Cricetulus griseus: one gene and its partner. The protein of the gene in region 1 interacts with the protein of each later gene in a pairwise test. Links are inferred from orthologs where the notes say so. Each region holds a gene or a part of one and is shown on either strand. Other genes may lie near its edges. The genes, in order: Rbbp8 and Lims1.

The links.
Region 2: the proteins of Rbbp8 (region 1) and Lims1 interact in a two-hybrid assay, tested with the Homo sapiens proteins (2 studies listed by BioGRID and IntAct). The two-hybrid records come from large-scale screens. The link is inferred for Cricetulus griseus from reciprocal best matches to the Homo sapiens genes RBBP8 and LIMS1.

What each region holds. Positions count from the first base shown.
Region 1 is NC_048595.1:224,638,551-224,642,374, forward strand, and holds part of Rbbp8 (DNA endonuclease RBBP8), read right to left. Parts: intron 3,654-3,824; coding exon 3,516-3,653; intron 1-3,515. UniProt on the Homo sapiens protein: Endonuclease that cooperates with the MRE11-RAD50-NBN (MRN) complex in DNA-end resection, the first step of double-strand break (DSB) repair through the homologous recombination (HR) pathway.
Region 2 is NW_023276807.1:2,689,524-2,693,347, forward strand, and holds part of Lims1 (LIM and senescent cell antigen-like-containing domain protein 1), read right to left. Parts: intron 2,207-3,824; coding exon 2,047-2,206; intron 1-2,046. UniProt on the Homo sapiens protein: Within the IPP (ILK-PINCH-PARVIN) complex, binds to F-actin, promoting F-actin bundling, a process required to generate force for actin cytoskeleton reorganization and subsequent dynamic cell adhesion events such as cell spreading and migration.

The DNA of each region.
Region 1 (3,824 bases):
ATCCGATGCTTGTTCCTGAATCTTAGGAGTAAAGGCACAAACAGTTTCTTATAGTAAGAGCTTGTATCGGTAAAATTGAGGTGGAGGTGAGTATGAAATATTGACAGCTTCTTAAGATAGAACAGGGGCCAGTAGGCTGCACTCTCCTGAGTGGGCTGTTAGAAGAATCAGTGTCACCCAGTCCTGCTTGTCAGTGGGGACAGACATTTGTGTCTCCTACTCAGTGGTTGTCTTTGAAGCTCTGAATATGGTCTATTTTCAAGGCTTCTCTCCTTGTCATGCGTCCTGTCATAAGAGATAATTAATTGTAGGGAGATAGCTTCTAAGTTATGTACATTTGACTATGAGAACAAAAGGTTTCCTTGACTGTGTGAATAATTCACACCAGGGCCCCACAGTGTTAGAGGTTATCCAGTTTACCAGTACAAGAGGGAGTTGTGCCCAATAATTGATGAATACATTGCTGGAGTTTTTTTTTTGGGGGGGGGAATCCCAAAGGAGGGATGCTATGGTTTCATAAGGGCTTCACAGGGATGACAGTGACTATTCAAAAGGCAAGTATCCCCAAGGCTTTACAAGTGGGGATTTTTCTCCCGTGGAATTCCAAGGGGTAGCCTGGTGAGTTTATTGACTAAAATCTCACTGTATGATCTTATGGACCACAGCATTATGTAAAAGCTGATTCATACGTTTCTACTTTTAGCCACTGGGTAGATGGGTAGGTATTTGGCAAACAATGAAACCTGGAGTGGCAGGAGAACATAAAAAACTGGGGTAGAAAAACAAAAATATACTGGGCAGTTGGTAGTGAATGCCTTTAATCCCAACACTTGGGAAACAAGAGGCAGGTGGAAATCAGTCTGATCTACAGAGTGAGTTCTAGGACAACCAGAGCTACACAGAGAAACCCTGTCTTGAGAAACCAAAACACAAAACAAAAGAAAAACAAAACTCTATTGATTGTCTAGATACTGAATGGGTGACATAGAGGAGTCTAGGGAAAGGAGCACAATGAATACACAAAACATTTTCCCTTAGCTTCCAGAACAGCAAAAACAATTTCTTTCCTACCTCATGTCCTGAGCACCATCTGTTTCCTTTGCTGCTTCTGTTAATGTTTCGTTCTCTCCCTCTCCTCCTTCTGTATTTTTTTATTTTATTTATTCATTTAATGTGCAAAATGTTTGTGCTTCCACAATGACTGTGGAGGTCAGAGAACAAAGCCTGGGACTTGGTTCTCTCCCTCTACTACGTAGATCCCAAGGATTGAACTCAGTAGTCAGGTTTGGCAATAGGCCTTTACCCATGAGCCATTTAACTGGGTCACACCTCTGTTCTCTTTAAGTTGCTATATCCCTTGGGCTGAAAAGATGACTCAGTCATTCATTAAAAAGCAAGACTCACAGACAGACCATAATTTGCTATATCCCAGAGGTCAGAAACCTAGGATGCTTTTCCAGTGTCATGGCTTTATGGAATGTCTACTTTCTGTTAATTTCCTGTCCTCAAATTATCTTTTTACTCTGGATTTCTTGCTCAAAGTCTACATGCACTAATTGCTTACTAATAGATCCATTTGAATGTTTAGCAAATAAAAATCTGTCAGAATGAGTTTTTGATATTGTTCTCCAAACTTACTTTTTCCTATGAAGGAAAATCAGTCAGAACTTTAGTATAAGAGTTGTGAAAATGAAAAGTTAAGCTCTAATATTTATGCCAGTGGTTGAAAAAAATAAATTATCTGTTGGGAAATACATGGAACGTGGCTTAGACATTAACAGTTTAAGTTGATGAGTCACAAAGGCATCTAACAATTACTTACAAATGCAGGTCTGGGATTCATTAGAAGTCAAACATAGAAATTCAGATTTGAACTAATTTTCAGTAATGAATATAAAAGCCTTGAGCAAAAATGCTATGAGGAAGGAAGAGCCTTAGAAATATTCTACTATATAGAAGTCTAGAAACCAAATAGTCAAAAAAGAAACGAGAAGTTTTGAGATGGCCAGTGTTTAAATGTAACATGTGATACTTAGCAAAAATTTTAACTTGAAATTGCAATTATCTTCTTAAGAGTTCCAAGTAGATGGAATACCCTTTACTATCACACTACCTTTAGAACACTAAGTATATTAGATATTTCCTCTGAGAAGATAAAGTACTCACAGCTGTGGTGATATTTTGTTTATGCTATTGACAAATAAAGCTTGCCTGAAGATCAGAGTGTGGAACTAAGCCACTAATTAGCCATAGAGGCCTAGGCAGTGATGGCACACATCTTTAATCCCAGCACTTGGAAGGAGGAAGCAAGAAGATCAGGAGTTCAAGGCCACCATGGGCTACACAAGATTGAATCAGTCTAAAAGAGAAACAGAGCTCACATCTTTGATCCCAACACTTGGGATGGCAAGCCTTTAATATCAACACTAGGGAGGTAGAGCTGGGAATGATATGGCCAGGCAAAGACAGGAATATAAGGAGGAAGGAGACATGAGCTCAGAGCAGTCTGAGGATTCAGTCTGAGGATTTGTAGGGACAGCATCGTCTGTTTGGTCTGAGCCTTGGTAGAATAAGAACTCTAGTGGCTGGCACTCTGGTTCTCTGATCCTTCAGCTTTCACCCCCAATAGTTAACTCTTAAGTTTTTATTATTAAGACCAAAGAGAATTCATGCTACACACAGCAGAAAACAGATCTAAACTTTCTGTGAATCTTTTCTATTGTATTACTAGTATTGAAAAAATTAATAATTATAAGATTAAACTTTCTCACATTTTTAATATACACATACTTCTTTATATATTTACATATATAAATATAAAGTTGATATATATGTATGTATGTATGTAAAGAAAATTATAGAACCAAGATTAATTTCTTAGTTCTAATACTTCAGTTGTGTAAAATGTTTGCATAAAGATGTGCTCAGTGGAAGGTATACACTCAACTTCTTCTTTGAAATATTTCCTTAAGTGGAAGTTATTTCAAGTAAAAGAAAGTAACAGAGAGAGATGGCTCAAGTTGTTGAGAGCACTGGCTATTCTTCCAGAGGCCCTTCTGTAATTCCAGTTCTGGGTGATCCAATGCTATCATCTGGCATCTATGGGCACAAGGTACATATGTGGTGCACAGACACATACACATAGGCAAAACACTCATACACATAAAGTTTTAAAAAATATCTGGAAAAGAAATTAACATAAGAAACATGAAACTTTTAAGCCGGGCGTTGGTGGCGCACGCCTTTAATCCTAGCACTCGGGAGGCAGAGGCAGATGGATCTCTGTGAGTTGGGAGGCAGAGGCAGATGGATCTCTTGTGAGTTCGAGACCAGCCTGGTCTGCAAGAGCTAGTTCCAAGACAGCCTCCAAAGCCACAGAGAAACCCTGTCTCGAAAAACCAAAATAAGAAACATGGAACTTTTAATAGTTGTAATCAATCCTCTACTAATTAGCTTGGTAACTTAGTGAAACCAGTATAATGGAAAAGATATAATTAAAGAGAAAACAGACTTACTGTTTGGTTTCTTTGTGGCAGCAGACAATTCTTCATTTGGTACCTGGGGGAAGCTATCTGCCAAACAAGATTCATATTCTTCATGTGTTGTCCGATCAAACATTTCTTCCAAGCTATCATTTATTGTTATGTCTCCATCTATAAAAAAGACATTGGCTTAGCAGCAGGCAAACTTTGGCCTTCTATGAAGCCCATGAACTTACACGTTAATATTAACGACCATAAAGTAGTATAATAAGGTCTTTGAGAGTACTTGTTTTATAAAAGATTCTTTTTTTTTTTTTATTAGTTCAAATTAGGAAAAAGCTT
Region 2 (3,824 bases), on another chromosome or scaffold:
CTTTGTATGCTGTGGGACTTGTCATGGATGTCTATGATGACATGTTGTTTTGACATCCACTGTGAACAGAAGTTATACTTTCTCATACCAGAGGTAGGGTTCAGTCCCCCTAACTGTCTCCAGTTTTGTGCCTCCCAGCTCCACAGTGTTACCAATCCAGATGTCTGTCATACATCACTGTCCCTGACAACCTCCTACTTGTGGTCAGCTAGACACAGACTGTGTGGCTGGGCTGACTCCCACACCCAGCATGGAATGTACTGATCCAGACGTCACAGCACAGTCACCTAAATTGTGTCTGCTTGCTTTAAACCTACTAGTGACAACTCTTCACAGGAGACCTTTTGTATGCTGATACCCAATGGAGCTTTGACCCATGGATCCTGTCTCTACCTCTGCCTATACTTTCCTAACCTATGTGTACTGACTTCTAGGCATGAGTAATAAAAGCTTCATATTTACCTTATGTCTTCCCTAATTCATCATAAAGATCTTAAAATCACAACAGTATTATCTGGTTGAGTTTTCGATTTCAGATCCTTTTGTCAACTTTAGAGTTTTCTAAATTGAGTCACAGCAGTTCTAAGAGCAACCCTCCCTCCCGTGCTGTTACAGCCACTAGGGGCCCAACTTGTGCTTCTTTGTACCAATCACAGCCATTCAGACTCAGCAGAGGTTTGGCCCGCCCACCACCATCCATAAATCCTGGGAACTACCTCCAACTTCTCTTCTCCTGCAGTTGGACCCTGACCTCTCCTGTTCCTGTCCTTCCCAGTCCTAAGACCATCATTCCTGACAAAAAGAATAAAATTTTATTCTGTGACTATATGTTAAATGCTATTTCCTTGAGTTACATACAGACAATTCATAAATGGAAGTTTGGTTTTTTAAGCATCTGTGGAGACAGATGATGTTTTCCAGGCTGACCTGCAAATTTCATTCCCCAGAGGCGTAGGAAAATGTCTCAGTGTAATAATTAGTTTAGTAATGACCATTATAAACTACCTTTCCTTCCTCAATCATGGAGACAGGAAAATCTAAGTTTGGTAGGAGAAAAGGGATAGAAAAAAATCAAAGGGGCTGGAGGATGGCTCAGCAGTTAAGAACACTGGCTGCTCCTGCAGATGACCTGGGTTCAATTTCTATAACCACATAGCAGCACACAACATTCTTTAAATAAAGGTCCAATGGATCTCACAACCTCTTCTGGTTTCCAAGGGTACCAGGCATGCACAAAGTAAACAGACATATATATGCAGGCAAAACACACATACACATAAAAATAATGGTAACTAAAAAAGAAATCAAAGAACAGACATTTTAGCTGTATCATAATTCTATATATTGTCATACAAAAACACACATTTGCAAATATGCTAAGTGGTGTGGTAGCAAAAAAAAAAAAAATGCCAAAGTTGTCACTCTCATTTTCACTCATGACACGGGGGAGGGGGGGTGAGCCTCCCTAGGCCATCTCCACAGTACATGTTTACTGTGATAAAAGGGTTTCAATAATGGTGGAAACACAGACCATTTGATGACACTGAGAAAAACAAGTGTTTAGAAATATCTCAAGGCACACAGTGTGGGTCCTGCAATATTCAATTCCAAACAAGATCCTCTTTAGAAAATGCATTAAAATCTCCAGAGTATGGCTTGAAGATCAGGAAGTAGGTGACACAGGTTCCCTTTCAGGAGGATGTCCAATGATATCCTGATAAAGGAAGACACAGGATTGGGATGGGAAGATTCCATGTAGGGCAAGCACTGAGGGAGGCCAGAGATGCTTCTGCTGCAAGCCTTGTAAAAGGATTCTGTACTTGGAGTAGAAGTATTCAGTCTGACACAGTCACAAGACACTGTAGATTCTGGAATAAGGTGAATGATGGGCATGAATATAGGTAGGTATGCACAAGATCTTTTTAGATTGTGACCTCCATGTCCCACATGCACTTCATCATTGACCTTCCAGGTACTAAATACCTGGCACTTCAATTCAATCTTTGGAAATGAATTTGAAAGAGAAGGGTAGCTCAGTTGACCCACCTCATAGAAGAGTCCTTCTGGGAACTGCTGGAAGCACTGAGCACACACGAAGCACTGCTCATGGTACAGCTCACCATTACTGTTCACAATCTTCTCCGCAGGTGCAAAGCCCCCCTTGCAGCGCTCACATGTAGCGCTGGCCAAGGCATTGGCCATGTTGCTAAAACACACAAAGGACAAGATACAGATTGCTAACTTGTAATTAGGCTTAAGACCAGATGACATCAAGAACTGAGGAGCAAATTCTACCTGGACATAAAAAGTCATATTTTATCAGGTTTCACAAATACTGTAACTTAAAATGGCAGTCTCATTAACAAAGCCCTTGGGTTTCCCCTGCTTTGCTTCTGCTTGACTTTAGCCTTTTTAGCATTTTTGTAAACAATGATAGATAATAAGAACACAAATCCAAGCCAAGAGTTCCTTTAGCTGATGCAGTGGGATACACCTGTAGTTCCAGCCTTTAAGGAGGCAGAGGCAGAAAGGTTGCTTGCACCCACAAGTTCATTAACAGCCTAGGCCATAGAGCCACAGTATGACTCTGTCTCAAATAAATAATCCACGAGTAATTGTTCCCCACAAGGACTCAGGCTTATAGCTGGATAAGTAACTTTAATTAAAATGTCCATGTTAATGACTTAAAATAAAAATGTCTTTGCTATGGATACAATATTTAGATGATATTGCACCCCTCCTCCAGCTCCCCCCGGACTCTCCATTCCATAATCACCCTCCCAACTTCATGACTCCACCTCTCCTCGTAACACACTAAGTCCAATCAGTGCTGCCACACGTGCATGAACGTAGAGCACCAACCACTGGAGCAGGGCAACCTGCAATGAGCCACAATGCAAAAGAAAACTGATTCTTCCTCCCCTAGGCACCATCAATTGCTAACAGCTTCTTAGCTCCTTCCCTCTGTGAGATAACATCTTAAAGTCAGTCAGTTTCTTTCTTTTTGAAGAACAAAATCTAAACTTCATTCAACTAAATATCATATTATAGCCTCAATTTAAATTATACCTTTGGCCGGATGCGGTTGAAAGCAACTGCTTAAAACCTCTGAAAACTATACAAGCTGCCTCAGTCCTATTAAACAGTACATAAGAAAACACTGAATACTAGCATTATAAAATGTATCTTAAAATCACAGAATTTTATGTTATAAAGATGATTTTTCCAGATAAAGGGATAGGTTCAGAGGTGGATGATGAATTCAATACCATTGAACTAGCTTCTTAGATTATGAGTGACACAGGCGTAGAATCTAGGCTCTCTGCTTACAGGGAACCATATCCATCACAGATCAGATCCTTATTGCAAACTCTGCAGAGTTCCTGGTAGGTATGCAATCATGTTTTGCAGGTCAGGAAAATGAAGCCAGACAGTAGCTAGCATTGAGTGACTCTTGACAGTTCCCTCATGAGCAATACCACTACACCTCAAAACACAGGATGTAATCAAATGAATAATTTCTCTAACCACTGGTGCTTCAGATGAAAGGCAGTATGAAAGGCAAAGAATCAGGTGAGAATTTCACGTAAATACTATTTTGTTTCTGAAAGTTTTAGAAATAGAGAAGGTTCCCTATGCTGAACAGTCACTGGCCCAGTTATTCTACATAATTTTACAAGTTGCTTTTTTGTTTGTTTTCACAGGCCTCTACCATAAGCAAGTCTGCTCCACTGGCAGAGCTTCTGACCTTTCGATATTTCTTCAGTCTACACTACTGATGCCAGGAGACAGATGGTGTGGAGAGCCACTAACTTCACAGATAC